Linked DNA regions of Drosophila melanogaster. The protein of the gene in region 1 interacts with the protein of each later gene in a biochemical or structural test. Each region holds a gene or a part of one and is shown on either strand. Other genes may lie near its edges. The genes, in order: Mekk1, ECSIT and Cdk5.

What was found.
Region 2: the proteins of Mekk1 (region 1) and ECSIT form a complex in vitro, tested with the Drosophila melanogaster proteins (one study listed by BioGRID).
Region 3: of the proteins of Mekk1 (region 1) and Cdk5, one has a biochemical effect on the other in vitro, tested with the Drosophila melanogaster proteins (one study listed by BioGRID).

What each region holds. Positions count from the first base shown.
Region 1 is NT_033777.3:18,736,329-18,747,860, reverse strand, and holds the start of Mekk1 (Mekk1), read left to right. Parts: upstream 1-4,266; 5' UTR 4,267-4,624; coding exon 4,625-4,860; intron 4,861-7,764; exon of another isoform or gene 7,765-8,564; intron 8,565-9,262; coding exon 9,263-9,463; intron 9,464-9,972; coding exon 9,973-10,754; intron 10,755-10,817; coding exon 10,818-11,331; intron 11,332-11,391; coding exon 11,392-11,532. Other genes in the region: gwl (greatwall), read right to left, coding at 1-624, 1,140-1,289; PGS1 (phosphatidylglycerophosphate synthase 1), read left to right, coding at 2,068-3,132, 3,191-3,610.
Region 2 is NT_033777.3:5,851,047-5,861,344, reverse strand, and holds ECSIT (ECSIT), read right to left. Parts: upstream 4,761-10,298; 5' UTR 4,675-4,760; coding exon 3,445-4,674; 3' UTR 3,431-3,444; downstream 1-3,430. Other genes in the region: CG2017 (uncharacterized protein), read left to right, coding at 941-1,613, 1,825-2,702, 2,761-3,033; CG34287 (uncharacterized protein), read right to left, coding at 7,242-7,949; disp (dispatched), read left to right, coding at 5,437-5,592, 5,994-7,001, 7,133-7,224, 8,036-8,578, 8,651-9,289, 9,474-10,298. UniProt on the Drosophila melanogaster protein: As part of the MCIA complex, involved in the assembly of the mitochondrial complex I. Involved in the innate immune response; promotes the production of antibacterial peptides.
Region 3 is NT_033778.4:15,565,791-15,576,477, reverse strand, and holds Cdk5 (Cyclin-dependent kinase 5), read left to right. Parts: upstream 1-5,060; 5' UTR 5,061-5,175; coding exon 5,176-5,343; intron 5,344-5,407; coding exon 5,408-5,595; intron 5,596-5,755; coding exon 5,756-6,120; intron 6,121-6,182; coding exon 6,183-6,346; 3' UTR 6,347-6,939; downstream 6,940-10,687. Other genes in the region: CG8204 (uncharacterized protein), read left to right, coding at 2,745-2,812, 2,868-3,028, 3,087-3,289; CG30466 (uncharacterized protein), read right to left, coding at 3,552-3,665, 3,721-4,800, 6,940-6,963; Flo1 (flotillin 1), read left to right, coding at 7,308-7,359, 7,652-7,727, 7,972-8,326, 8,638-8,649, 8,765-9,235, 9,306-9,449, 9,511-9,675, 9,887-9,904. UniProt on the Drosophila melanogaster protein: Probably involved in the control of the cell cycle. Interacts with D1 and D3-type G1 cyclins. Possible regulator of neuronal differentiation and/or development.

The DNA.
Region 1 (11,532 bases):
GTTGTTTTGTCCACTTGAAACAGAACCGAAGTCATTCAGTTTCTTCTCTGACCCAAAAGACAGGTGCGAAGTAAGCGACAAAAGCTGGCCCGGCGTGCGGGCGTTTAAATTCGGTGAGCAGTTTATAAGGTCTGATATTTCCAGATCTCTTCGCATATCGATTTTGCTCAACCCAAAATCAGTAAGCTTCACATGGCCACTGGAGGAGAGCAACATGTTGTCCGGTTTAATATCTCTGTGGACAATTCCGTGCTGATGCAGATACTGCAGCGCCATCACCATCTCGGCCACGTAGAACCGGGCCGTGGGCTCGTCAAAATACCCAAACATGGCCAGCAGTGACTTGAGATCCCCGCCCACCATGTACTCCATCACCAGGTAGACGTAGGAGAGCGATTGCAGGGAGTAGAAGAGACTGACACAGAACTGAGAGCGGGAGAGGGCCAGGGCATTCCGCTCCGTGATTACCTGGGACACCATGTTCTTGTTGATCATCTCTGACTTGCGCATCACCTTGATGGCGAACAGCCGCTTCGAGTCGTTGTTCTTGTAGCCCAGGAAGACTTTTCCAAAGGCGCCGCGGCTGATTGGCTTAATGATGACAAAATCCTTGATAGTGGGAAGCTGTATAAGAAAGCGAATGTATCCATTACTATATAATAAAGTGACCTAAGTGGTGGTGGTAATTCTTATAGCCCAAGGCAGAACAAAGGAAAATAATATAGCTAAAGTTAGACATAGAAAAACTTCAGTTCTAGATATAAAAAATAAAAAATCTTAAAAAAGCATATGTGTATATATATAATTGGATAAAAGAAGATATATGTACATCAATAGCCAGTAAAAGGAAATGAAGAAAGGAGCTATGTAAAAAAAACAGAAGATAAATAGAACTGTAAAAATGTTTTTGAAATGGAAATCCTATATAACATCACATTTGAACGTACATATGTTTTTCGTTTTTCCTATAATACATAAACATAACCTTTTCATTAATTCTTGAACATGTACTGCCCTTTTTTAATCAATTTACATAAACACTGTGTTTAGAGGCATTTCAAATTTTCTTGATTAGCAACCGTGGCTAACTGTAAACCACCCACGTGTGGTAATCGCCAGTTTGCGATTCCTCCGCGTACCTTGGCATTCTGGGAGTGATTCTCCGGCTTGGTGGTAAGGATGTTGATCTTGTCCAGCAACTGCTCACTGTCGATCAGCGAGTGGGTCTTCTTGGGGGTTTTGTAGTCGATGTGGACATCCGATTGCGAAGTCGCATCGGCGTTTTCCATATCTTCCAGGTTTCCGACGGTCAGAGTGCGATTTTCTCGCGGTTTCGCACAATATATACAATTATCGTACAGAGATATACAATGTATAGAATTCGATATAGACCTGAATGCTATTAGCTTGTTTATTGCACAATTTTTATTTCAAACACACATTTAAAACAGCGCGTCTATTTTCTATGACCTGAACTAGAGGTGAAACTAATTCGATTCTTAGTATTATCGATGTTTCTAGAAATTTGACAACATCGATGTTATTGCAGTTTAAAATTAAACGATTTTTTAAACTAAAATTAAATATTACCAAAAAGAAATGCATATTAGTAAGATACCGGTTGAATATTTCAAGTAAATTTATTCAAATATTTCTTTATGCATATATATAAAAGTAGATATACACAAAAATGTTAAAAATGTAACAGTTAGTAACTATTGATAAATGGTTAGGCTTTTATTAATTTGATTTAAATATTATTTTTTTTTAAGAAACACATAGCAGGATCACCATATCACCATCACCATTATGAACAGTCGATAATTCCCGATAGCTATAAATTGTTATCGAATCCCAGCTCGCTTTGCAACACTTGCGTTCCACCTGGAATTTATTTACGTGCTGAAATTCGAAGTTTTTTTTGTGATAAAACAGCACTCCATGAATGAAAGTGTGTTCCGGATACAGCCAAACAGACAGTGAGCAATGCGCCATACCCTGTCATCAAATAGCAGCCGCCCAGAGTGAGGATCCGCTTGCCAATCCGTCAGAGAAATCCCCGCCAAGATGATGCCATACCTTCGCCGCCTTTTCAGCCAGGAGCTCTCTCCGGCTGCTCAGGGCGATTTTCTGGGCTGCTTGCAGCAGGCGCCCAGTGTCCTGGCCACCGGATTCCCTGGAGCACCCGCACTGGAGAGCCTAAGTTGGTTACACAACCTAGCGCCGTGCTTCCCGCTGCGAGGCGATCAAATTCAGGTCATCCACGAGCCAAAGCACTTCTACGAAACGCTGGTGCAACGAATCGGTCAGGCCAAACGCCGTATAGTGCTGGCCAGTTTGTACCTGGGCACTGGGCAACTGGAGAACGCAATGGTTCAGACGTTGCGTCACAGCCTGGAGCAACAGTCTGCCCTGAGGCTCAACGTGCTGTTGGACTTTACACGCGGCACGCGGGGAACCCTCAACTCCAAGACCATGTTGCTACCCCTGGTCCGCGACTTTGCGAGCCAGGTGCAGCTATCCCTGTACCATACGCCTGATCTGCGCGGGATGACAAAGCGACTAGCACCGCCACGGTGGAATGAGCTTCTCGGACTACAGCACATGAAGGTCTACCTGTTCGACGATGCCGTGATCATATCAGGCGCCAATCTGTCCAATGACTACTTCACCAACCGGCAGGATCGATACATACTCATTGAGGACAAACCGTTGGCGGATTTCTATGCGCAGTTCATCGAACGCGTTCAAGAGTTTAGTTTGGCAGTGGCGCCAGATGCCAGCGAGGGACTGCACCGCAACTGGCGAATACTGCCGTACGAGGGCACCAAGGAGCAGTTTATCCAGCTTGCCCGTAAACGTATTTCCGATTTAGTGCAGGAGACGTTTCAGCGGCAGGCGCGAACTAAAGAGCAGAATCCGCAGGCAGACACATGGATTTTTCCGCTGCTTGAGATGGGCCAGATCGGCATTCATCACGACAGCGTGGTGACCAAGCGGCTGCTCTCCAACTGCTTGTCTGGATCACGGCTGAAACTGGCCACCGGGTACTTCAACCTGACGCAGGAGTACATGGACACGCTCACGCACAAGTGCCTGGCCCAATGCAGCATACTGATGGCTCATCCAAATGTGAGTGGCTATCAGTAATTAGTTGACCAATAGTAACCCGATTTAATTCATTTTCCAGGCAAACGGCTTTCAGGGTGCCAAAGGACCAGCGGGCGGAATTCCGGCTGCCTACACACTGATAGCCAAGAGTTTCTACGAGAGCCTGGTCCGCCGGAAGCAAAACCACCGCGTTAACTTCTTCGAGTACGAAAAGCCCGGCTGGACGTACCATGCTAAAGGACTGTGGTACTACCTGCCAGAGGCAATACTGCCAAACCTCACGCTGATCGGCTCTTCGAACTTTGGCGAGCGATCGGTGAACCGCGATCTGGAGACACAGGTGTGCCTTGTGACGGCTAATAAGGATCTAAGCCAGCGGCTGCAGGCGGAAGCTGACCGGCTGTACGATCTGTCACAGACGGCGGAGCGGGAAATCGTCCAACGACCCGTTCCGCGATGGGTCCAGGCCGTCGTTCGCATATTCAGGAATTTCTTCTAGGCTCTTCGATATAGTAGTTTAATTTTTTTCGTTCTTTGTTAAGCCCCATATCCCAGGTAGTTAATTTAGTTTTATAATTCGTGTTTAATCTTTGCCCTGGGCAAGTGTTTCTATTGCTGGTAATTGTTGATTTTGTACACACGCTAAAGTTTGTTAAATAATAAAGAGAATCGAGGGCATGCAGAAGGAAAAATACCACGCTGTGTTCTAATCACCAGGGGGATCATCATTTTAGAATCAAGTGCATATGTTATAAATATTTGTACTATCTATATGTACTTTCATTTAGTTTTAATAATTTTTGGTGCTGATAATAATCATGCGTTCAAAATTAAATATCCCGCCCATCTGTGAATAGTGATGGACGCCTAACGATGGTTTACCGCTTTGGAGAGGCAGAAATAATCGGATAGACCAATGTTTTTAGCTATTTTCAAGAATGTATTTCGAACTTTGTTGAAAAAAGTTGCAATTTGTTTAATTATTATTTTCAGATGTCCTCAATGTGTTTACCAATTTTGTTAAAAGAAATTTAAGAGCAAAGTCTAAGCAAAAATTTAACTCTTCGAAATACTCTGCTAAGTTTAAGCTTTTAACCAATTGTTGAACGAAAAGTCCCAGTTTGATTATCGCTTCTTTGCCACCTCTAAAGCTCTCTCTTTTTTCACTCTTCAAAAACGCCGGGCGACTTGAGTGGCTCGAAGACTTTAGTTAGCTGCTTTTTTTGGCCCGGTAAGACGTACGACAAAGTGCTTACCTGCGTGCCAAGTTCGGGAGCGCGTTAAACGTTATGTGTTTGCTCGCCGTGAAAGTTAAATTAAAATAAATCTGATTATCGCCAAAGGCAAAACAAAAAGAAAAATAAAAACGCGGCGCGTGCTTACTAAAGTGCAAGTGTGTGTTGGTGCTGGATTGCGATAGTGTTTGTGCACTGGCGGCTGGCTGAGCATGTGTGCGTGTGAGCAGCAAATTCCAAGAATATAACAAAAGCAGAAAAAACAGAGTTTTGCAAAAATGTCAAACAGGCGAAGAGTGCGAACAATTGATTATCTGGCGCTGCAGCAGAGTTTGCGTTTGCAAAAGACACCGGCAGCAACAACAAATGCAGAGGAGCAGGTGGCAAGGGAGGAGGAGAATGGCAATGGGCATCATAGTACCGTTACAGCTGAAACGCCACCCACACCACCCATCCCGCCCATTCCGCCCATACGATTACGACGCGAGCAGAGCGTCGAGGAGGATGTTGCAAGGTGAGCAGAGCACACCAGCGGTTTTCGAATTGCTGGGCTTTTCCCAACACAAACAGAAACAAGAAAGTCTGCATTGGCACGTAACTAACAAGCGCTCTCTTTCCCATTTCCTCTCCCCCTCTTTTAACATATCTCTGTCGCGGCTCTGCTCTCAAAGCCATATTTGCGGGGTTTCCCTCTCATTCGCTCTCGCATTTCTTCTCTCTCGCTGTGCATTTCACCAGTTTTAATTGTTTAAACGTAAACAACGTGTTTTTTGACCACGTTATCTTGTTGTTGGCCTGGGTGGCTCAACGAACCCCAGAATTTAGCGAACTGCAAGACAGGCACAAAAAATGAACAGCAACAAATTGCGAATTCTGCCTGAAATTAAACACTTTGTGTGCAGCGCAATTAAAATTCTGCACAGGTGCACTGCAAAAATTGGATCACATTTGTGTAACGCATACTCGTCGAACACGTAATATATTTAGAAATTTTTGTGGAAATTTTAGTAGATTGAGATTGAAACCAAATCTTGAAGTCTAAACGCTCCTTTATGTAACAGTAACGATTGTTTTCAGTGATCAACAAGTTTTCTCACTTACAAGAGAGCACCCTTCATAAATATTTTAAACTGATTTTAATGTGTTCAAATAAAAAAGCAATAATTGCTAGGTATTACATTACAAAAACTAAGTTTCTTTATAATGCATGTTATATTCGCTCTGCGTCGTTTTTCGTAGTATTTCGGCATTTATCATAGTCATATTTTTGTGTGGGGCCGCCTCAAGTCTTCCAAGATATTTGCTGATAACGCTGACGGTGGACTGATAACACATACACACGCTCACCTTGAGAGAATTACGGATACGTTTTCCGCTGTTTTTTTTTTTTGTGTCTTATGCGCAGGGGCTTATTCATAATACACTTCATTTTTTTGATTTGATTTTTATGGGATAGGTGAGTGTTCATCGTTTTGCGGGAAAACATGATTGTCGTATGTTAGCAGGAAATTTGCGACAAACATCCATTTTCTTTTGGCACCTGTTTCTATGGCAACTAAGTGAAATTAGCCGAGATTTATGTGTCTGCTGCTCGCTCTTTTTTTCGTTGGTCTCTATATTTTAATACCTGTTAATTGATAAGTTGATTGGTTCGCTGGAAAAATGGCAACGTATAGATATAATATTACATATGTTTTTTTTTTTATTAAAGCATCGTATATGCTAAGATACAAGCAGTGATTCTTTAGGAAAGGTTACGAAAAAGTTTTTGACTTTAAAGGTTTAAACAGCATTTATAGGGTAATCGGTAGTTCGGACATCTGTAAGCATTGTTCTCATTTGATGCCGCCAATCTTGTTCTTCTTCAGCTGGTATACCTGTTTTAGGGGGGAGGGAAGAAGAAGAAGAGACGGAGGGGAGACTATTGGAAGTTAAAACGCGTTTAATACGTGCGTTTGCCCACTCTGCTTTGTAACCTCTTTCGTTATTCTGTTTTCAAATCGAATTCGCTTTCTTCTCATATCTCCGTCCATAATGTTTTGTGGTTGTCACCTGGCTAACTGAATGGAATTCCGATGATTGAAGGTCTCTGGCCTAACTGTTGTTGGCTTTGGTGAAGAGAGCGGGAGCTCGCGCTCTTGCAACATTCGTATTTGTACTTGAACTTGCAGGTTATCTTTCTCTCTCTCTCTCTTTTGCTCCACGTTCTAGACCTCAGTTCAGTTGGTTATAATTTTGGGGCTTTCGTATGTTTGATAAGCATAATTGTACACACATATCAGAAAACATTTCCGCATATTACACACGCACGCGCCCACACACACACGTGCCACTGCCGTTTGCACTAATTTTAGAAGTTTCTAATGTGTTTTTAAATGCCATGTTTACAGAAGAAAACAGCATAAACATGAGATTCACAGATTGTGTATGATTTGTTATTTCCATTTATTTAAAAATTGAAAACCTCTCAAAATCCATTTGATTACTATTTTACATTTTTAACTTTTTACTTTACTTTAAGAAGCATTGAAAGATAAAACTAAAAACTATGGTTGCATATTAACATTTGTTTACATTTAATAATCTTGATTGGGTGTCTGATTGTCTGTTTCTTATTACAACTCACTTTGTTTTGGACGAACTCGTCCTATCAGTCGATCTGATAAATTGATCGCTTAGTCATCGAATTTCCAATGCTTCATACATAAATGGGGACCACGGTGCGAATGTGCAACTTTTATGTGTATCTATAAATATGAAGTATACGCACCGCTGGTCACGTGACCAAAGATTTTCATATAGAGCCAATGAAGTTGATTGACTTGATTTGAATCGATTTTCATATTCTGACCGTTTGTAGAAAAATACCTACACTCAAAAGCTTAAGTAAACACATTGCTTATTAGCCAACAAGCGGGTACATAATAAAATGCCATAAATTAATAATAAATATTCTCGCGGCTAAGACAATTGCGAACCACAAACAAACGCAATGCGCTCCAGAAACGATCGAATACCCCTTTGCGTTCCACAACAAACCGTATCACGGTGGTGTGTCTCTCTTTCTTGTGCTCTTAGTTTCCATACCTCTGTTGCTCATCTTATTGCGTCTCCTCTCTCTGAGATACCATACACAAATGGCTATAGTTTATAGTGGCAGGTATTGTATTTATTGTAAACCGTAGGCTTCACAATTTATATTTAATATGTTATGCATACTTTTACACTTTCTGTGCCACACTCCAGTAGTTTCTGACTGAAATGACCACTGGTAAATGTTAAACATAACTATTTAATAGCTAAACCGGCATCCCCGATTTGAAGTGGCCACCCACTAGTTGCTCTCCGCTGAGGGCCGTAAACAATCGGATGCGTCGGTCGGGCGGTCGTCGCTCGCTCTTTTCAGTTCGCCGCGATTGGCAGTGAATAGCAGTCGGTTTGGGGGCGACACCGCTTCGTCGGCACCGCGGCACACACTCGCTTGCGCTACATACAAAACCGTATACTGTACGCATTGGCGAATAGATGGGGAATATTCTTGTTAAAAGTGCTAATAAATTGACTGACTGGCTGCCGCGACAAGTGCTGCGCGTTATGAAATTCGAAAGGGTTCGGTGCGAGGCGTGCGAACTACTGCCGCCTGTTTGCAATTCGTCGTGATAAACCAGAAAACCAGCCAGAAAACTACACACTACTACGGTGGGAGATAGTGCATAACCCATAACCCACCCCACCAGTAAAGATTCCATCGATCCGAGAAGGGAATCGGCAGTCGCATACCGCGGATCGGTCATCCAGCCCCCAGGCCAGTCCAGTCATCGTTCGCTGGCTCGCGTCTAAAGTTCTCTCCAGCTCTACCAGCTTTTAATTGTGAGCTGTCGCTTTTTATTTGCTCTCAGATCGTTCCGCCGCTGTTTGTTTTTTGTCCCCAGAGTGGGTTGTAGTGGTGTATGGTGCGGTGCAATTAGATGTGCATAAATCTGGCTCGGGCACCCACCGGAGACTCTGAAAGTAACACTAGCCCTCGATTGCGGCGATTAAGCAAAGTTTAAAACAGCGGCATTATCAACCAGCCAGTTGAGAGTAAAAAAGAGGATTGCACTCTCCAAGGTTCTCTCTCGTCTCGCTGCGACTCGCTGATTAGTGCCGGTTTTGGAGCTATTGGACTGCGCAAACAGTGATTGCCCAGGAGGAGGTCTGCAAAATGCGTCGGAAGAAGTGAGTGATCCAAGCCAATGGGCTGATGAAAAGTGTGACGCGATTTGCACACCACAATCAAACGAGTAATTGCCAGCCAATTTTGGGCTTTTTTGGTCGGGAATAAATCAAACCTCTGCTCAAATTAGGGCATAATCGCAGGCGTGACATGCGGCTGTCTGCAACACCGGCAGCAGTCAGATAAGATAGGGATGTCCTCCTCCCCAGAGTTTGCCGCTTTCACTCCCTTGGATACACCGACAAATTTGTATGTGATGCACACGGAGAACAGCGTGAAATTTGGTTGAAAGTTCAAATAAAAAATTTTAATGTTAGTTCGGGATAACTGTTATTTATCAACTGATAATTGATTTCGCTAAAAACTCGATTCAAACACTCATTGATATAGTCCTAAAAAAAAAGATATATTATATTGCGACAATATGAAAATTAATATACATTAACTTAGCAATTTAATCACTTTATCGCAGATGTAAAATATATTGAGTGAAAAATTCCTTGTTCAATAAATTACACACCGTAATACTAAAGCTTTTTTCTGAGTGCAGTAGGTATATTTATCTGGGTTATCGGCGATTAAGCGGCACTTGTCCGCCGTTGCAATTAGCGAAACAATTAGGACAAGCCCCTAGATTAATGCAAATATACTATACTATATTTAACGTCATCATCTACTCTTTTTTTTTTTGATCTTTTAGAGTTGAGTACCGTGTGAAGCAGACGCCTTCGCGTCCAGTGCAGATGACTCGAAATCGGATTGGTGCTTTGGAGGAGGACATGCCTCCCGAAGATGAGCTGGCGGCGCACTATGAGGCCTTCGGCACTACTCCGCCACGTACCAGGCTCAAAATCAAGAACCGCGACTGGGAACGCAAACAGAAGGTGGTCAATGTGACAGCGTGAGTATCAGTACAGTCAATCAGTAAATGCGGTGTGCTCCATATGGATAAGGCATCAGGATGGCCGCGATAAGGGTTTGCGTCCGTGCTAGGTACGTGATCGGGAATAGTGACGAACGCAAACTCACCAAATGACCATATGCTACCATATGCCGCATCTGATAGTGCCATCTCTATGGCTGATGTCATTTTCGTAATCACTGTTATTAGAAAATGGAAATAATTTTAAATAACCTTGAAGTATTTAATATCCATTTACAAATAAATATGTTTCAAGAATTGCCCATTTTACACAGTTTAAAATTTGATTTTAATATAAATTACAAAAATCTCAGATAATTATTTGGAAATTAATATCCAGAAATATATAGAATTTCAGGGTGTAACCTCAAGAATATGCAAATAACAGTAGTCTTTTTATTATAATAAAAAAATGCAGATCTCCTGTGTTGTTAATGGTATCCGCTTTTTTTTATATTAGCGACCACTTTCTAAACGCTTTTTCTCAGTTCCGCAGACTTACCGGCCAGTGTGGGTGGCACCCCCAAAAAGACCAGGACGGCCAGATCCCGCGTCCTGCGGCGCAACACTATGGACTGCGCCCTGCTCAACGAGATGTTTGTCAACGATGAGAGCAAGCGGACGGACAAGCGGCTGCAGTCACTCCTTCGCGACTCGGAACGTGAGATGAAGAACTCGTTGGCCACAACGGCGGTGGCTGCTCCACGAGGTAACAGCTTCCACGAGACAGCTCATCCGCTGGAGTCTCTGGACCAGATCATGCCGCTCAATTCGGAGGCAATGGCGCCGATTCCACTGCGAATTGCTTCCAAGGTGGTGGAGAGCTGCAATCGCTATCGCTGCGTGTCCTCACGTCCCATTGGGTATCGCTCCTCGGCGCCGCCGTTGGCTTTCGCTGCCCAACTTCCCGCTGGAATGCTAAGGAGTGATGGAAGAGCAACACCTGGGTTGGGGAAAAGAAAGGACTTCCACGAAACGTTTGCCAATCTAATTAAGCTCGGTAGCGTAGATCGACAGGACGCCAAACTATCACAGGAGGAGCACACCTGGCAGACTGAGCTGAAGGATCTCATCTGGCTAGAGCTACAGGCCTGGCAAGCAGACCGAACTGTGGAGCAGCAGGACAAGTACCTTTTCGAAGCGCGTCAGGGAGTCTCCGATCTGCTCACCCACATTATAAACTACAAGTTCCAGCCGCGTTATCGCCGCGAGCCGAGTCTGATAAGCTTGGATAGTGGCACTCATTCCGATAGCAATTCTAATGCCAGCTGTATGTGAAACCATTCTTCAAAAGTAAACCCCTTATTATTTATTATTTAAATCTATTCTCCAGCTCCACTGCCCAGCAAGATGTGCCAAGGATGCATGTCGCTGTACTGCAAGGATTGCATGGATCATCAGGAGTTGGCGCTGCGAGAAGTGGAGGGTATGCTGACGCGCCTGGAAGCTGCAGAGGCACTCTACCCTTCCTCACAGGCCATGGGCGCCCTGCATCCCATTTACAAATCACAGAGCTTTGTAGGGCGCATCAAGTCCATGTGCTTATGGTATAACATTACCAAGCAGAACAAGTTGAAGCTCAGTATTTTAGGAAAAATTCTGGCAAGACTGCAGGATGAGAAGTTCTCTTGGCCCGTGTGCACTTCCTCCTACATCGCCACCGACAGCGGTAGTTCATCAGCATCGGGTGTAGAGAACGATGATTCGGCTGTTAACTCAATGGATTCATCAAAGCCGCCCAGTATGGCCGGATCAGCCTCGCGAAAGGGTGTGACACCGTGCCACAAAGTGCAATTCATGTTAAACGACGCCACCCACGTGCCAGGCGAGACATCAAGTAGCAATGAGTAAGTATATACGAAGTAGTACAAAATTGAAGAAAAGAAATAATATACATTTTCCTTCAGATCCACCTCCACGGAGGTAAGCCAGTGGTCCAGCGAGTGCTCTCACAGCCATATGCGTAAGGGATCCATGCACGACATCAACATTTTCAGTGTCGAGCCATTGGGTACGTGCAGCAGCAATGGGACAGGAGAGCAATCCAC
Region 2 (10,298 bases), about 13 Mb from region 1:
AAGAACTCAAACGCCCTAGGGTAAGGTATTGCGAAAGCTTTTGAAGTATTCAGGTGCTTGTTCTTCGGTCAACAAAGCAAAACAATCGGGAGCAGGTTATAAACAAAATCGAAAGGCACCCAAAAGCGGAGAGCACAAGTACGCACACAACTACGAACTACAACTACAAAGCACAGCACTCAGAACCCAGATAGCCGAACGAACAACAAATTCGACCTGGGCAAATGAAAAGCGCAGCCAAAATCGATATTTTGTGCCAGCGTCGCGCGCAAATAGGAGCTGCTTTAGCGCTTAATATCTCGAATAAACTCGAGCGGATTGGTTTGATTAGTGAGCCAAATATAGGGATTATCTGGTAAGATGTTTGGAACTTGTCGTATTATCGACCTTCTGTTCCACCTGCCCCCGCGCGTGGGCTCGAAACAACGGCCAGAGTCGTGGCAAACATAAACAAGCATTTTCAAGGTCGCTGCAAGTCAAAGACGGCCAAAAAAACAAATGGGGAAAATTTCAGTTTTGATGGATACACATAAGCAAACGGTTCCATCAAAAAGATACATAGAAGTTGAAAAATAATTGTTTTTAAAGTGAAACAAATGACGTGGTGTCGAAATAAAATTAAAAAAACTTTAGTACAATATTAAAAGTTATTTCAACCCAATTATATTGGGTAATTCTCAGACTAAATACAGTACAGTATGAGTAAACAAATCAAATAATATTTACTTATGCATGTATCTCATTGCTATTATTTCAGCCACGGCTGTTCGAAAATCTGTATGTATGTACATAAGTATGTACATATGTACATTTTCGATGTCGCAATTGGCCCAAAAAATGTTTTCTTCTCAAGACAAAGAGTTCCTTTGTCTAAACAGAATTTTTACCATTTACCTCATCTGAATTTTGTATTTATATGATCCACGCTTCCCTTTTGCAGCAACACATTATGGAGTCCTTCCTGAGTCTCTTTGATCCCAATCAGGACGACGGCTTCGAGGAAGAGCCCGAGCTCAATGGCAACAGCAGCGGCGGCGGAAGCAGCAGCAGCGACTATGAGACGGACGCCAATGCCAACGAGTGCAGCGTAGTGAGCGGGATGCCCACCGAGCGGGGCAACCTGATCTTCGACTTCGAGCAGGGAATGCTGCCACCAGAGCCGCAGCTCGGAAATGTGGAGTACAAGCTGAAGCTGGTCAACCCGTCGAAGCAGCGATTCGAGCACCTGGTGACCCAGATGAAGTGGCGTCTGCGCGAGGGAAACGGCGAGGCCATCTACGAGATTGGAGTATCCGACGCCGGCTATCTGCAGGGACTCAGCGACAAGGACATGAATGCCTCGCTCACCACGCTCAAGCAGATGGCCCACAGCCTAGGAGCCAGTACCTCAGTGCTGCGGCGAAAGACCATCGCCGCCCGACGCGCCGTCGCCGAGGTACTGGTCCGTAAGATCCCCGACGACCAGCACAACATCGAGGTTCGGGTGGCGGTGCTCGGCGGAGCTGATGCAGGCAAATCCACTTTGCTGGGCGTGCTTACACAGGACGAGCTGGATAACGGACACGGCCGGGCGCGGCTCAATATGTTTAGGCACATGCACGAGATTCAGTCTGGTAATATGTCGTTATAAGCACTAAACACAGATATAAATTAAATTAAGATGTTTGGCATCCATTTTAAATTGTCATCAATAAGGAATATATCAGTTGTACTACATTATTCATACATCTCTCGTTTACAAACTTTTTTTTAAATTATATTTATCACTCACAAAGTCCGGTTTGTTTGCTTGAAAATTACCAATTTGCTCCTCTTTTCCTTAAGGCCGCACCTCCTGCATCTCCCACGAGACGCTTGGCTTCGATGCACTGGGTAATGTGGTCAACTACAAGTACAATGAGATGATGACGGCAGAGGAGATTAGCGACAGGTCCAGCAAGCTGGTTACCTTCATGGATCTAGCCGGACACCGACGCTACATGCGCACCACCGTGCAGGCACTGAGTGGATACTCACCCCACTACGCCATGCTGGTGGTATCGGCGGGCAGCGGTTGCAACGACACCACCGAGGAGCACTTGGCTATCGTGCGGGCACTGGACATGCCCTTCTTTGTATTGGTCACGAAGACAGATATCACATCGCCGGACGCGACGGTACAGGAGTTGTGCAACCTGCTCACCACCATTGGGTGCCGGAAGGTTCCCTTTGTGGTGACCAACACGGATGAGGCCATCTCCGCCGGGTCAAACCAGATCTCCGAGAACATTGTGCCCATCTTTTGCGTATCGAATGTGACCGGCACGGGACTCAACCTAGTCACAAAGTTTCTGTACGTCCTTTCGCCCGGAATCAGCAACGCCGAGAAGGATCGACTCGAGCAGGAGTCTTGCGAGTTCCAGGTGGACGAGATCTTCCGGGTCTCTGACGTCGGACCCGTTGTGGGCGGTCTACTTGTCCAGGGCGTGCTGACCGAGAATATGGCAATGAAGATTGGTCCGCTTCCCGATGGTAGCTTTCATCCCGTTACTGTTAATACTATCCACCGAAACAAGGCTCCTTGCCGAGTTGTCCGAGCTGGTCAGAGCGCTTCGCTGTCTTTCAGTATGGATCAGGATGTGCCCACGCTACGAAGTGGCATGGTTCTTTTGGGTGATATTGGAAATAGTCTGGATGAGCCCTACGGGACCTTCTTCTTCCAAGTGAGTTGCTAGTTTTCATTTATCGTTACCAAATAAATACATCAACTTCCCTTTGCAGGCCAAGGTGTCCGTGCTGTTCCACGCCACGGCCATCTATGTCGGCTTCCAAACCACAGTCCACATAGGCAGCATTCGCCAGACGGCCGTCATTCGGGGCATTATGGGCGGCGAGCGACTGGGCACAAACGATTGTGCTTCGGTGATGTTCGAGTTCGTCGGCCACCCGGAGTACGTGCGTCCTGGAATGCGCATCCTGTTCCGCGAGGGCACCAGCAAAGGAATCGGAGTTGTCACGCAGGTGTTTCCGGTCAACAAGACAGGCATAAAGTAGAGAAGCGGGCCAGATGGATAGTTCCAATGACATATCTATATATCTCAAACAAAGATGACATGTACATATACTTAATTAGCAATTAGAGGGAGGCGTTAAATCTTAGGCAGATCTTCTGTACACTTAGTTTCGGGTTCTGTGATTTTTCGTTTAAGCTCGGCTCACAATCGGATGTTGTGAGTAATCCTTCTCAATTAACCTTATTTCATTAAAATCCACCCCAAAATGCATACAATGTTGCTTTCAATTCGCGTCCGAGCCAAAGAGTATAAATAATTACCGAAGTATTAATTTTTTTCCTTCTAGCAGATGTACATATATATGTACATATGATCAAAACCGACTAACTTTAAGCAACATTTACCATCAATTCTATGGTATACAAAGACGAAAAAGTGCTCAACAATTTGTTTATTTCTGTCTACTGCTAATGTGCTCATCTTGACTACTGTTATCACTTGTTGCCGGGACACTGGCGCCACCTTCAATTTCCTCCGCCTTGGCTGGCACTTCGGATGTGAACCGGAAGAGGACGGGCACCTCTCCTATGGAGGGATTTCCGTTCGCTTCCAACAGGCGAATCCACGAGAGCAATGAGTCCTTTGTGGAGGTGCCTGTGGCACAGATGGCCATAATGGTTCCGTCGTCCTGTTGGTGGACAGAGCGCAGCTTTCCCAGCTGGTTGTGTCGCCTTGGTGGAGCACGACCAAAGAAGGGTACTTCGATGTGGGAGACATCGTCCTCGTCCAGCTGCCGCTCATCTAATTCAGACAGGAACTCAGAATCTGCATCAGCGCGCAGGGTAAAGTAGTTGATCCGGCGATTCCTAAGCCATATGTGAAAGGGTCCCTCGATGTACAGAGCTTTCTGGCGAGAGTGCTCCCGCAGCAGTTTCTCCTGCTCGGGACTCATTCCGCTCACGATCCACGTATCGTCAATGGCATCCTTCAGCTCGCTGGTCTCGAAAACCGTGATTTTGGACCGCAGGTCGACCGTGCACATCCGCTCTAGCGCCAGCTTGGCCATTTCCAATGTATCATCCGGAACAGGATCGGGCAGTGGCCACGGTGATAGGTTCTTAAACTTTGGCATCCAGTACATCATGCGCCAATACTTGCGCAGTGGATGTCCCTGCCTGCCAAACACATTAAGCAGCATCGCCTCCATCTCGTGATCGGGCATCACCCCGCAATCTTCCATCTGCTCAAGCAGATCAATGATACACTGCTGCTGTTTGGGGTAGTGCATGAACTCTGCCTGGAACATGTTGGTGGGTATGAACTTGCCCTTGGGCATCACGTTGATCAGGGCCTTGTAGACCTCCAAGTCTCTTTCCACCCCGAAATCCGCCATATTCTTGAGTGCCGCGTAGATGAACTCCACATGGTTCCGACGGTGGACGTCGCGCTCCTGGAATATCTCCACCATGGTCAGGTAGCTGTTTTTCGTCCTGTCCTGGGCGGCGGCAAAGGGGTTCCTTAAAGCCGGCAGGTTTTTGGTGCCGGGTTTTTGTGCCCTGGGATTTGGATTCGGGTTCTGTTTCGGATTTCCCTCGTCCGTAGCGTAGTTTCGAAAGCGGCTGACCAGCGAATGGCCTCCATTGCCGTGCAGCCGGAGCAGGCATTGTGCGCGGCGCAGCATTTTTTATTTATAATTAATTAATTGAATAAATTTGCAAATACGATTACAAAACATTGCACAAGCTGCGGAACTAGTTCGCGTTTTGCAGCACTGCTGCTGCAACATATGTTTTAATAGTGCCGATAGTCTAGCGTATTTAGCCAAATTTGGTAAATTCTAGGGCGAAAAATTGTATTTAGTTTCGGCTGTACCCAAAGATTTTCAAGCTTAAATAGTGTCATGACCGTAATACACGCTTAAAGTCATACGCTAGTAACAAAAGTTGAAGTGAATATTGCATAAGCTCATTGTGACTACCTTCACGAATCTCTTCCTTCGGAGAACAGCTGTTTGTCTGGCTTAGGGCCATCATCACTGGTGACTGAGTTGCTCAACACTGTATTAACTCAGTGTATCCTTTGTGCTGCTTTTTGTTGTTATTTCACCGTTTTCTGCGTTATCCTTATTCGCATAGTTTTCGGTTGTTTTTCTGTTGTTTAAGTTAGTTCCGAACCCTGAGTTATTTGCACGGGCGCGCGCCTACATAAAAATGCAATCCAACAAGCCGATCTCTGCGGCGGAGGCCTGACCAGCAGGCAGTATCTATAACAGAAGCAAAACAATAGACTTTGGCTTGGTCCCAAGGAGCACCCACCAGCCCAACGTTATTCGAGACTTCCAGCCGCCAAGGATGCACTGAAGGGAAGCGGAAACCCAAGGAGCATTTGATGTTCCCGCAATGCGAAGAGGGTAAAGAGGATTCGGGCATCACATTCTACTGACATGTTGTGCTTCGACTCGGAGAGGATGAACTGGTACTACCACGTCCTGGCCAGGCGTCCCTACCTGGTGGTCGTCTCCATTGCTGTCTACTGTGTCGCTTGCATCATCGTGGCCCTCGTCCTGAACAAGCTGCCGGACTTCAGTGATCCCACCTTGGTTTGTCCTATTAGATTTGTCCAAAACATGTTCACTGCTTGATATTTGGAGAATATATCTTATCTTATTTTACAATTATTTTTTAAAATATTGAGCACATGGAAATAATCCGAAAATGTCTAAATGATATTATTTTATTTAAATTTCGTTATATATCTATTTTTTTTAAATATTAAGAAGTTAAAATATTTTAAATATTCACAGAATTGCTATAAGAAACTACAGGATTACTTGTATACAAACTATTCCTGTATTATATTTTCATTGTTATTATGTTATTGTTGTAAAAATTGTGGAAAATAATAAGATTAATTTCTCACTAATATGACTTATTTGATCACTTTATAATGTGATTATTTGTCATGATTAATATTTATGATTCAACATTTATTTCACTTTAGGGCTTCGAAACCCGCGGCACCAAAATTGGAGAACGACTGACGGCCTGGTACAACCTGCTGCAAGAGACTGACCACCATGGTGCTCTTTTCTCAAATCCATCGGATCTGTGGGAGAGGAGACGGGTAGAGCAGGGCTATGTGGAGACGAAGCTGCATCCGAATCACAGGCGACGCAAAAACAAGCACAAGAACAGAAACAAGAACAAGCGACGCAAGGAACAAAATCAAAGCAGCCACGAGCATCACGATGTGGCGCAGAAGATGATGCAGTTCAAAAAACGGCTGAAGGCTACTAGTTCTCCCTCTCCAAATCTCGGCTTTGACACCTGGATCGGGGACAGTGGAGTATTTCGCGACTACGAGATTACAAACGACAGCGCTTCCTCCTCTTTGGAACCCACGCGACGCACTGAGCAAATCGAATATGGCCACAACACCACCTCAGTGGACGAGGAAGAGCATCAGCAGCGGGTGCAGACCAAGAAGAGCACTTGGCGGCTCCTAAAGCAAGCCGCCACCTTGCCCACCGACGGTTGGGCAGACATGCATCGTCGCCAACCCATCGAGGGATTCTTTTGCGATTCATCGCCCCGGAAGGAGTACTCTCATTTTGTGGTCCAGCGGATCGGTCCCAACGCCACCGATTCTCTATTTGATTTGAACGGACTGCTGGCCATGTGTCAGTTGCAGGATCAGATTACCGAAGTCCCCAGCTACCGGGCATTTTGCGAGCCGGAGATGCTTACCACCGAGTGCTGCCGGCCATGGTCACTGCCCAACTACGCCGCCATGCTGGCCAACAAAAGTTCCTGTTTCGACCTTACCACGGAGGATGTTACTTCGCTGCACACGCTGCTCTTGGGCTGCTATGAGTACTTCCATGACCTAAAGATGGACAACCACTGCAACGAAATACCGCATTGTCGTGCTCCTGAAGAGTGCAAGCGGCTAAATATCGTCTTTAACGTCCTGAATTTTCTCACCGACTTTAGTTTCATCAAGTCTAATGTAAGTTATTGAGTTTAAAATAAGCTTAGACCCCAAAACTCTTTTATTAAAACAGATTTGTATTTGTCCGTTGCTTTACTCGTATTGCATTAAATTCGACCATATAATATTGGCACTTTTTTTTTTTGTAGGACTCGAATGTATACCTGAAATACGCCATGATTTTTATACCCGTGGCGCAATCCAACCGCTTGCTGCCACTGTTCCACGAATGGGAAGACGTGTAAGTATGGAGCACAGCTAATATTTGCGAAATTGATACCGGTCGATGGGTGTGGAGGGCATTACATTATTTTTAGCTTTCATCAAGGCCGGAACGCATATGGTATCAAAATAGGTGGTCAAGTTGTACTTTGTGAAAATTTTTCGTAAATCGCTGGCGATTTTGTCCAGAGTAGTGTCCTTTAGCCTACGTTCTGGATAGAAGGAGCTCCTAAACGGCTCCGTTTCCTGCAGGAAATTGTAATAGCACCCATATGTGGTCCGATAGTCCTCGTCCTTGAGAGAGTAACCTTTTTTGTTCCTATAGCGCCGTCGACTTACAAAAGAAACGAAGTCATTCCGAGAGTAATCGTTCATGTACACCGATCTACGAAGGTCCTTCACAAAGTCCTTCAGAATTCGGAAATCCACAGGCGGATACATAAAAAATAGCTTGTAGATCCTTTCGTTACACCACTTGTTGCGCTTGATGAACTGTGCGTAGTCCTCCCGCCAGTCCATTGATTGGGGCCATGTCTTTGTTTTATATTCAATGCCACCAACCTTTAGATTTGCGCAGTAGTGACCACTTATTAGAGAGGGATCCTCTTGGGTTTTCTTAATCGGGGGATTGTAAACGGCTCTTTCAGTATGATCCACATAATCCGCTCTGCTGGTGGTTACAAGCACCCTCGTCCTTGGCAATTCCATTTTAATTAATTCCTTTTCCCGTTGAACTGGATCCATTTTGCAATTTTTTTTGTATTTTTCTTTTATTTAAAAATATTTTTGATGTTTTCTGTTTGATAATAATATTCTGAATGATTTTTCAGGGAGCTGATCAACGAGCTTGTGGAAGTGGTTGCGATGGACTTGGGCCTCGAAAACGAACTCTTTAACGAGCTGCTGCTGACGGACGTGTGGCTAGTTTCGCTGGGAGGGACATTCGTCATGGCTAGCGTGTGGTTGTACACGGGATCGGCATTCATCACCTTGATGTCCTGCGTAGCCATATGCTTTTCGCTAGGACTAGCGTACTTTTTTTACGCCATCGTGCTGGAGTTTGAGTTCTTCCCCTATATGAACCTTCTGGCCGTGGTAGTAATAATTGGCATTGGAGCAGACGACGTATTTCTGTTTCTTAAGATCTGGCACTGTGTGCTGACCGAGAGGTTCAGCAATCGATGTACCTTGACCACTCAGTCCCAGAGTGCTCTTCCCACCCTGGAGAACAGTGATCACACGGAGTCACTGGAAAACATAATGGCGCTGACTATGCGACATGCCGCTGCCTCCATGTTCGTTACCTCACTTACCACCGCCGGCGCCTTTTATGCCTCCTACAGCAGCTCTATAACAGCTATAAAGTGCTTTGGGTAAGTTAATAAAAGCAAGATTAGATGAATCTTAATATTTAGTAATGCTCATTTAATAAATTATATTTTTAGGATTTTTGCGGGAACTGTCGTGGTGACCAACTACTTACTAATGATAACTTGGTTGCCTGCATCGGTCTCCATCATGGAACGACTATTTGCCACAAGGATGTCCTGCCATCATCCGATGTCAATAAAGCTGATCCACGCCTGCAAGAAGTCAATTAACCGATTTTGTCAGATGTTTGAGGAGTGCATCACGAAAAGCATCATGAACTATGCCTATCTCTGGCTGCTGATCTTTGGGGCTCTAGGCGCGTCCAGTGCCGTCATTGTGTTCTGGTATCCAGGACTTCAGTTGCCGGAAAAATCACACTTCCAGCTCTTTGTGTCAAAGCATCCATTTGAGGTTTACTCCAGTCTCAAGCAGCAGTTCTGGTTCGAGAAACCATTGCAGGCGTACGAGAACTTCAAGATGCACATGCATTTCGTCTGGGGCGTTCAAGCGGTGGACGACGGCGACTATACGAACCCCAACTCATACGGCCACCTGCACTATGACAATAATTTTAACGTATCCAGCAGGCCGGCACAACTCTGGATCCTTGATTTTTGCCAGAGTGTGCGCCAGCAACCCTTTTACAAAGAGACTCTCGGCATGCTGTTGCCCAATTGTTTCATTGAAAATCTTATCGACTATATGAAGCGCAGGTGAGCATATACAATTATATACATACTTACAATGGCTTAGAAAGCTCATTAAAACTGGGTTCAGAAAAATCGATTTTGTTTACATTTGAAAGCTGGAACTGGTTTAGATGGATTAAGACAGGAGATATAGAGACACCAATACAATTTGCAATCATTAATAGAAGCTTTTGTTCATGTTGTTCAGATGCATCGATGATATGGACAGTACCAGGAAAGACCGTTCACCCTGCTGTGACGCACAGTTTCCCTTTGAGCCGCACATATTTGAGTACTGCTTGCCACAAAGCATATCCAACATGTATGACACTACATTTTTCCGGCCCGGCGTGGCAGGACCCAAGTTTGCAGAGGCTCCCCGACTGGAGACTGAGGATTACCTAGGAATGAGTGGAAATGAGAGTGCAGAGTACAGCACCAACGGATCATTTACACCGCTACTAGTCAAAGCCCTGGTCATCGAGTTCGAGTCCAACGTGGCCTACAGCACCATCTACGCAAATATTAGGCAGTTCTACGAGTCTGTAGAGCACTGGTTTCAGATGCAGTTAAAAACGGCACCGCCGGAACTTCAAGGAGGATGGTTCACGAGCGACCTGAAATTTTACAATGTGCAGGACACCCTTTCGCACGACACCTTTGTTGCCATTTGTCTGGCCATGGCTGCATCACTTGCAGTGCTCCTATGCTTCACCGTAAACATATTGATTTCCATCTACGCCGTACTAACCGTGTCGCTAAGTATTTTTAACACCGTGGCTGTGCTCATCCTGCTCGGCTGGCAGCTTAACATCTTGGAGAGCATTGCGGTGAGCACGGCTATCGGTCTGGCTGTGGACTTTAGCCTACATTACGGTATTCACTACCGGATGTCCCCGGTTAAGGAGAGATTGGCAGCCACACAGTTTGTACTATCCCGCATCATTGGACCCACAGTGATGGCGGCCACCACAACTGGTCTAGCTGGCGGAATCATGATGGCATCCAACATATTGCCCTACATACAGATTGG
Region 3 (10,687 bases), on another chromosome or scaffold:
TTACAAGCCATTGGGATTCATATAGTCCTCGCAGCCCTTCCATTCCATCCCTCCGTGCATCGTGGTCTCCTGCTGATAGTTAATGTTCCCCGGCATCCGTTCGGCATTTCGAATTATTTTCGAATCCATTTGATGACCCACTAGTCCACTATCTCCAATACTCCGGTGAATTCCAATCGAATATGCTTGCAGATGTCGCGTTTGCATGCCTGCTATCACCCAATATGAATCCAACTACCTGGAAGGACTACAGGCGATCATCGCTATACGGAAAATAACCATTATTAAAGATTAAGAATCTATGGGACATACAATCTCCACTTGACATGTTGCATAATAGATATATTTATAGGGATTTAAACCTTTGCTGTGCAACACTTTGTGGTTAGTATGATAAAAAACTGCCTCCACAAGAACCAAACCTTTTTGAAAAAAGTACATTCGCGCTAAGGAAGTTCGACTGCCAAAGCCATATGTGTTGCATGTAATTTAATATTCATTATATGCACTATAAACGCTGTGCCACTACGATTGCATGATCTGTCAATCTGCCCAATTGCCAGGACTATCTGCCCCCTTATTTTTCCACCTTCCAGTGTTTTCCTCGTTTGGCTTTTCGGGCGATAAAAACGAAGCGAAAAGTGCCGCTATCTATTAATATCGCTTTTGGCTTTTTCGCTGGCGGCTAGCTGGTAACTGGTAGTTGGTAGTTGGTAGTTGGTATTTGGTAACTGGGAAAAGCTGGGAATGAAAAACGCTGAAAACTCCTAACGAACGACACCTGCCCTCGGAAAATGCCACTACTGCACCCCGCGAGAAACTTTCGCCCCATTTGGTGGCGTGTGTCTCGCTTTTCTTCTTGCTGTTTGCATTGGTCGCCCCTTTTCCTTTTGGCGATACACTGCTGCTGATGTTGCACGAATGTTGTAAATCAAAAGTAGGCGAGTCACACGAAGGGTCTTCCTGCCCCCCCGAAATCCCTGCCACCGCCGATAGCCGCTGCTTGCCAGCGCCTCTGCTGCTGCGCCTATTTGACTGGCAGGCCGAGCGGATAACGCTGGCAATTATCGCGCTTGTGCCTCACGAACAGCGGAAGCGGCAGAGGCGCCACATCATGTTACCCGGCCCGATTCCCCAGACCTTCCACATCCCCAAACTCTTTGTTAGCCTGCATCCTTTGCTTTCTTTTGTACCACTCGTTTTTCTTTGTGCAATCCAATTGGTAGCGCTCAGAAAACAAAGCAAAAACGATTGAAAATAACAACAACCAGTCCCGGCTACAAGTCCCCCAAAATATGGCAACAGAAACAAGAAGAAAAAAAACGATTCATATACGAGTATAGCCATGCACCTAGACCACCCCATCCGGTCAGTCAGTCAGTCATTGAAGTCATTTATTGCCACCAAAAGTTTTTCGCTGTTTGCCATACCCTCGCAGAGGTTATTACGGCTCAGACTAGGAGCAGGACACGAAGGATCTCAATGGGTGTAGTTATCGTATACAGGACTGTAAGAAGTTATAACCCAATGACATTACCTATAGGACTATCATTATTATCAAATCTTAATGACACACATCTATATGTGTATATTTCATAGCTGAATATGGCCATATAAATGAGATGTTTCTCTTGCAACTAAACCTACTTTTTAGGACTATATATTGTGCATACACATAACACGTTTTCATTAGAAAGAAAGCTTAATAACAAAGGGCATTCCATGCTTCGGTTAACCAATCGAGCCTCACTGTTGTACTTATTTTTACTTCTGGTTGTACTGTACTTGTCTTTGGAGCTGGAGCGGATCTGAACGACTCCTTCCCGGGAAGGACCGTTCCGTTTCAGTACGTTCCGTGTGCAGGATATGTTTACAATTTGCGGACACGCCGACCGTCATTTGATTGCTCCCCTCGCGCTTGTCGAATTCTCGGTTAATTCGCCAGGTGGCTTCAGACTGCGCATTGCCATCGGCGGCGGGGGGAAAGGATTGGGAGGCTTTGGGGCGGAAAAATGGGAGGGCAATGATAAGCGTTCCTCGTTTGTTTGCTCGGAAGCCTCACGGAAGATGACGTGCCCGGGATGGCCCATAAATGAGACTGGCCAAAGCAAACAGACCGGATACACAGGATACATTCAATCAAATAAGGCTATTCGTAACCGGAAAAGGGCAGGACGACTCTATGTCTTCCTCAATCTGACCAAACACTCCGCTAATCGTATGGTTAATAACTAAAATACCTGTGGATAATCTTTAAACGTTTTCAATATGTAAGTCAGTGAGATACAGATACAGTAGATTGAAGCTTTCTGACTATATAAAGTATTTACTTATTTATGATGAGCAAAATTGAATGTTGATGATGAACATTTTATTTGTTCCAGCAAATTGTTCAAATTCAAATTAAAAGTAATGGCGCCAAAGATAGAATTCATCTGTTGACGAAGGCTGGCAGCTACAGAACAATCTAACTAAGCTATGGGATTCGTTTCAACACACTCGTCGTAGAACTCCACTAGTTTTGTTTTCTCACTAAATTAACATGCAGCCCCGCGATCTTATGCGCATTTTAATATTATTCTGCTTGCGTTTTGCATTTAACTTTTTGATTGTTTACCTCCAAAAACATAACGCCGTTCCAGTGGAGCAGAAACGGCTTGGAACCCTCGATAGAGGCAAAAGCTGGAGGCTATAAAACTCGCACAGCTGAGTTTTATTTTGCACGCGACATTGAATTTGATGAGATGGAAAAATGCATTATTTGCGTAGATAACTTGAGAAAATACAAGTGCAGCAAATGCTCGGCACCCTAGTAAGTAGCTATTCGAACAGTTCACTACGGAGATAATAAATGTCGCAAAATGTAGCTGCTCTGTGGCTTGTTATAAGACACACAGGGATTCGCCCCAATGTGCGACAAGGGAGTCCGACTTGAAAAAGACTGAAGTTGGCTACCAGGAGGAACCTACGCTTCATGTGCCCTTCCCCACCGACGACACAGTTGCCGCGGAGAAGCTCCAGCAACTAGGTAGGTGTTTAAATTCGCAATTATACACATTTCTCATAGTATGATGGTTTCCGTACAGAAAACTGCCAGGAACTGCGTAATTTGCTCCACAATCCACACCTGCGTTCGCTGCTCCAGCAGATTGATGTGGCCATCAATGCCCAGTCGGCCATGATGGCCGCCATGCAGGAGCCACTCTTCGTGGAGTTCGCTAATGCCTGCCTTCAAGTCGTCGAACCGATGACGGATGCTGAGCGCACTGAATTTGAGTTGTACTCCTGAATTAAGTTGACACACAGTCTCAATAAAACTAAGCCTTTATTTTGTAACTAATAGTACTGTCAATCCTTGGCAGCTTCTAGAGGAGCTTGCATTGAAGAACTCCTGGAAACTTCTCATTGAAATCCGCCGGTAAGGTTGAATCTTTTCCATAACCAGGGAAAACGTACAACTAATTATTTGGCTCGGCCATTTAAAGTTATCTATCTCAGCTGGCATATCAAACTAGTCATCAGTCTACAGCTTCGTTCCTTGGCAATCAAACTCAATCAAAGTAAATTGAAACTGGATCCGAGTTAAAAGTGATTTTTGGATGCTTCATGTGCAACTTGAAAAGCCTATGTTCCCCTTGCACTTTCCAGGTCATGGGGATGGGATCCTGTAATGAAAAATATTAGAAACGAAAGCTAATATAAGTTGTGAAATACTTAGACCTCATTAGACATGAGATACGTGTTTAGTTCCACATAAATATTAAGTGCTGTGGTACGGTTTTCTCCCAGTTTCTTCGCATCGAATGTGAACTCCTTAAATCCGAAGGTGCAATGGTATATACCCAGGACCTCGTGTGTGTTTAGGTTTTGTATTAAGGTATGAAACTTAATTTCGTCCACACAAACCGAATTTTGTATATAAAATTCATTGACATTAATGTGAAGATGCTGATACGCATGCATACCAAAATTAGCCACCTTTAGGGTCTTAATAGCCACATTTAAACCGTAAGTTTCACAAAATATGGATGTATTTTGGCTTATCTCGATCATATTTATAGTGCTTCTCTTCGCAGCTATGAGAATCTCTCTCAGAAATCCGTATCTAACGTGACCACAAAGAAATAGCTTCTTCAAGTGAGTTAGACGTTCCAGTTTCGATAGGAACCACACCATCATTTCCTCCTGGAAGCACTGCAGCTGCTCTAGGTTTCTAATCCCTTTCCAGGGCAGTTCTGTGTTCGAAATCTGGTCAATATCGAAGATACCCAGCTTCAGGGATTTTATTTTTCTGGTTTTCAGGATCTGTATCAAGTTGGTGACATTGAATTTGCTGCAGTAGGAGACCGTGAGGTTCTCGAGAAACTCGAATTCATCAAAGTGTTTGCCAGTAAACTTTCCATGGGGGCTAAAAGTTGTCAGATTTGGAAAAGTTTTCAACATTCTTGGCACGTCCGCATCGTTTAAGTTAAACGAATGCGTGGAAAATCGAAAATCTTTAAGTTTTGGAAAACTACAGCTGGTAAGTGTTTCGAAGTTAGATCTATTATTCATTTTGAGCCGCAGAGTGCTGAGGATTTGTTGAGTACTTTCCAGGAAGAATAGCAAATCCTTGTCGCTCAGCTGCATTTCAATCAAGGATATATATGCACATTTGTTATAAGCACGCCACACATACGGCATTAATTTCTTAAACCGGAAATGAAAGTCTTTCAGTTTTAGTTGGGTCTTCAAGTCGAGATAACTTAGAATTATCATTAGAACATCATCGGGCAGACATAGTAAGCCAGGCTTGGTATTCTGCAAAGGGCAAAAGAAATTAGGAAACTTGTATACTTATATTTCTGCTATATTGTTGCATTGCGGTACCATAAGATCGGTGTTTATCATTGTCGGTCTATATTCGTATGTTTAGCTAATATCGAGTCCAAATAAAACAATAAAATTATAACAAAAGTTTTATCAACATTTTTAAAATGATATCTGTTAATTTTGAGTATTTTTGGTGACAGCAGACTGTCAGCTGCGATGTTGGTTAGTCACCGCGTGCTGTAAGCGAATAACAGTGTGCTGTTAGGCGCACGAATCCCTGGCCAGCAAAAACAAACTGCAAAAACAATAATCCCCGGAGTTTTCCATCTGAACGCAAAATAATACACACCAAAACACAGCAAAATGCAGAAGTACGATAAAATGGAGAAGATCGGGGAGGGCACCTACGGCACGGTGTTCAAGGGTCGCAACCGCGACACCATGGAAATAGTGGCCCTGAAACGGGTGCGACTGGACGAGGACGACGAGGGTGTGCCCAGTTCTGCCCTCCGGGAGATCTGCCTGCTGAAGGTCAGTCGGACGAGCAGGAAGTGATTCCAGTTTATAAACTAAATCGGCACATTACCATCCGTAGGAGCTGAAGCACAAGAACATTGTGCGCCTCATAGACGTCCTGCACTCGGACAAGAAACTCACCCTGGTCTTCGAGCACTGCGACCAGGACCTCAAGAAGTACTTTGACAGCCTCAACGGGGAGATCGACATGGCCGTCTGCAGGAGCTTTATGCTCCAACTGCTCCGCGGACTGGCATTCTGCCACAGGTATACCTATATATGTATCAGCACTGGATTAGGTCTTATCTTGTGTCGATTATAGTTAGAATCAAGTGTTATTTGGAGTAACTTCATCTGTGGCACATTTCCGAATGATATCCATTTTATAGCATTGAGACTTAACTTACGCTACATTATCCTATTTTAGCCATAATGTCCTGCATCGCGATCTGAAACCACAGAACCTGCTGATCAACAAAAACGGCGAGCTAAAGCTAGCTGACTTTGGTCTCGCTAGAGCCTTTGGCATTCCCGTGAAGTGCTACTCCGCAGAAGTGGTGACCCTGTGGTACCGACCACCCGATGTCCTATTTGGAGCCAAGCTCTATACGACCAGCATAGACATGTGGTCCGCTGGATGCATTTTGGCCGAACTGGCGGACGCTGGACGACCGCTGTTTCCTGGCTCTGACGTGCTCGATCAGCTGATGAAGATCTTCCGTGTGCTGGGCACCCCCAACGAGGACTCCTGGCCAGGAGTTTCGCACCTCTCCGACTACGTGGCGCTTCCATGTAGGGATTCTAGACGGATTTTATTTATCGATACCAATATTAAAAGCCTATTTATATTATAGCTTTTCCGGCCATCACCTCGTGGAGTCAGCTGGTACCTAGGCTAAACTCCAAGGGACGCGACCTGCTGCAAAAGCTGCTCATCTGCCGGCCAAATCAGCGAATTAGCGCGGAGGCGGCGATGCAGCATCCCTACTTTACGGACAGCAGCTCTTCGGGACATTGAGGTCGGAAGGTTCTTTCCAAGCCACTGTTTTCACGACCTTTGATTAGACTTAAGCCAAAATGCGAGACTTTGTCCAGCAAAGATCTTTTAATTATATATGTATGTCCTTGCAGTAGAGTTCGATTATAGTATAAGATAAAAAGTTCTTTATAATTTCATTAGTTTGATTTACCAAAGCAAAAGGTTTGATTTATGACAATCCCTACCAATGTGACACTTAATATAGCCATTTGAGCTGCCAAATTAACATTTATCGATAAAATACTTATTGATTCAGTAAAATAGTTTTATTCTTAAAAATTTTTATGTTGAGTGTATCGTTAAGATCCGAAAATTGTTCAAATTCCTAGACGATATCTACTGTTTGTGTGAATGTGGAAAAAATATTTGAAATCCTAGTTTCTGTTTTCAAAGACTAAAAACTAGGCAATACATCTGGTTTCCAAATTTAATGAGTGTCGACGATTTTCTTATTACATTTATTGTGTATTTTTAAGAATTTCGATCTTTCTGAATGATATGAGTCATTAAGTAAATTAGAATAAAAAAAATTGAGATGTAACCTAGATTTTTAAACCAATAAAGACACTTACCGCAGCACTACGTCGTCGCAGCATGATGAATATTTTGAAGTGGTCGCCTCAACCCCCGGCACTCAATAGGGGTTAAAGTCGTTCTGCGCACTCGCGAGTTAGAAATTGAGAACTTTACAGATTGAGAGATTTTTTTATTGTGCTACGAATTGCTAACCGAACCGGTCGGATTTCTGAATCTTAAGCACCGAGTACCTCGGAAATTCTTTTATATATATTATTAGACGAATAAACAAGGCTACCTGTGGATCGGATAATTCGCTATATAGTTAATAATCGGAAAACTGTGTTAACCGCGCAGATAAAACAAAAGCTGTTATCAGCAGCAACCCATTTTCTAATATAAATAACAAATAAGTGCTGCAGAAATGACTTGGGGATTTGTAACCTGCGGCCCCAACGAGGCTTTAGTTGTCTCTGGTAAATCACACGATCCTTATATGCTCAAAATAATGTCAAATCGATTAAATAAATAAGTCAGTGAATAAAAATGAAATTGTCACGCACACACACATATATATACACCCCACCCCAAGTGACGTCACTATCGATTTTTGTGTACCGCAAATGTTGTTGTTGGGATAACAGGGGAAGAAGCTGAATATGCGGCAGTCCGAAGCCATGCGTGCGCATTTGAACGGCGTTGCGGTGCTGTTATCCAAATGCTGCAATGTTTTGTAAACAAAGTGTTTTTTGTTTGTTTTCTGCGCAGGGTGCTGCTACATGAAGCCGCTTTTGGTGCCGGGAGGACGAGCATTCGTTTGGCCAGTGGGCCAGCAGGTTCAGCGGTGAGTTTTAACCGGCTTAGACCAGGGGTTCCAACGAAAAGCCACAGGTTAGGGAGGCGCTAAAAAGCGCGGGTATTCGAAATATTATTCGTAAGAATTCGGTTTTATTAAAATATATTAAATTATAATAAAATAATCTTATTTTATCAGATAATATTTAGTTAATATTTCTGGCTTCGTATCTGAGTCCCTAGTCTTAAGATAACAAGCCCTCAGATGTTAAATGTCCGCCAATCTTCCCCAGAATTTCGTTGAACACGATGACCCTCCAGGTAGAGAGTCCTTGCGTGTACACCAGCCAAGGAGTGCCCATCTCGGTGACAGGCATTGCACAGGTGAAGGTCCAGGGTCAGAACGAGGACATGCTGCTGACCGCCTGTGAGCAGTTCTTGGGCAAATCAGAGGCAGAGATCAACCACATCGCCTTGGTCACCCTGGAGGGGCATCAGCGTGCCATCATGGGTTCGATGACCGTGGAGGAGATCTACAAGGACCGCAAGAAGTTCAGCAAGCAGGTGTTTGAGGTGGCCTCCAGCGATTTGGCCAACATGGGAATAACCGTGGTTTCCTACACCATCAAGGATTTGCGCGATGAGGAGGTGCGTAGTTCCAACCGATTACTTTTTACCACTCTCCCCGCACAACTAACCCAATCATCAGCAGTGATGGGAATAGGTTCTGTATTTTATATATATATTAGTTTTGGTTTTGTATACTTGAACAAAAATTTATTTAGCAATTCTGCAGTGATTCTATATATATTCAAACTTATTTTCTATTTTAGATTTTCTTTTTTTTATTCGATTTTCCCATCACTGTGTACCGGCTTCAAAGCTCCCTTTTTTCAAATAACCTCTTGTATATATGTGAATATATATATTTCTTGCATGTCCACATGGATCCTCTGTAGGGCGACTCAAAGGTGCGTATGTCCGCCCAACCGCCTGTGCGTGGAATCGTTGGGACACGTCCATCAAATTCAGCTTCTTGTGTAACTATCGGGATACTAACTCCTCGCGTTCAATTTCCATTTTCAGGGCTACCTGAGGTCATTGGGTATGGCCCGCACGGCGGAGGTGAAGCGCGATGCCCGCATTGGCGAGGCTGAGGCCCGAGCGGAGGCCCACATTAAGGAGGCCATTGCCGAGGAGCAACGCATGGCCGCACGCTTCCTCAACGATACCGATATTGCCAAGGCCCAGCGCGACTTTGAGCTGAAGAAGGCAGCATACGATGTGGAAGTGCAGACCAAAAAGGCCGAGGCCGAGATGGCCTACGAGCTGCAAGCGGCCAAGACCAAGCAGCGCATCAAGGAGGAGCAGATGCAGGTGAAGGTGATCGAGCGCACGCAGGAGATTGCCGTCCAGGAGCAGGAGATCATGCGCCGCGAGCGAGAGCTGGAGGCCACCATCCGCCGACCGGCCGAGGCGGAGAAGTTCCGCATGGAGAAATTGGCCGAGGCCAACAAGCAGCGCGTGGTCATGGAAGCCGAGGCCGAGGCTGAATCGGTTAGATACCATCTAAATATTTGCTTATAGACTACGATTAACTGAAGCATCTCCATCTTCTTTGCAACAGATCAGGATTCGTGGTGAGGCTGAGGCCTTTGCCATTGCGGCCAAGGCTAAAGCAGAGGCCGAGCAGATGGCCATGAAGGCAGAGGCCTATCGTGAGTACCGTGAGGCTGCCATGGTGGAGATGCTCCTGGACACACTGCCAAAGGTTTGTCAATGGTTAGATTAAAAGAATCTATAATTTATTCTATGTTGAATCTAATTCGCAGGTTGCCGCCGAGGTGGCTGCTCCACTGTCACAGGCTAAGAAGATCACGATGGTGTCCAGCGGAACTGGCGATATCGGTGCTGCCAAGCTGACCGGCGAGGTTCTGTCGATCGTCAACAAAGTGCCAGAGCTGGTCAAGAACATAACCGGCGTGGACATTGCTCGGGTACGTTCCAATTCTGAATTTATCTAACTTCAGAGCTCGTCGAGGTGAATGAATGACGACGCAATCGAAACCAAAACAAATGGCAATCAAAAGACTTTGTAGACAGGAGGACGCTGCTTTCGTTTGCTACCTTCGTTTGATTTGAGCCTTGTTTTGCGATATAAATTCCCTGGTTTCGATTCACTTTACGTTTCCTTTCTCTTCATTTCAGTCTGTGCATGCTGGCTAAAAAAGTACCCAAAAGAAAACCAAAAACACACAAAATTATGTACTCTTCAAAACGAAAATAAGAAAACAAAAAAGAAATTACGCTATATTGAACGATCGAATACTTCAAAACTGAAATCGAACGCATTTAAATTTCTTTATAATTAATATATTATTGAATCTTTGTGCTAACCCGACAAATTTTGCAACATGTTTTACACACACACTCAGAGAGAGGAGCAAAAATATTTTGTATTACATGTATAATGTATTTATATAAGTGTATTGCACAAAGCGTGGAATAAATATTCTTCCTTGGATCAACAAATTGAGTTTATTTTAATGGGTCGGCAAATATAAAGGAAGTTGAAATTTTAAAATACCAAAGGTTTTGGCGGTTATTCCACATTGCCACACTTTTCAATTTCGCATATGCGCTGCCACCTTTTGATATAAATACGTTGGGCAACCAGCGTTGCCATGCCTTTTAATTAATCCATAAACGATACGTCTTCAGTTATTTTATAATGTTTTATTAATTTTAAATATATTATTATTAATGTATTAATCAGCCAATTGTTTCTGATGAAGCATTGAAGTTGGCTTCTCTCAGATAACTTCAGCTTTAGTGAAAGTTATGAAAAGGAATGGAATAAGAGAATTTGTAGGCATTTATATATAATAGCATTGTTATCACAAAATATATATTATATATTCAAGACGCAAAAAACAATCGATGCGATATAAGAAGTTGAATACATCGATAGTTTCGATAGGTTGATGTTGTACCATCACTAATAGCAGC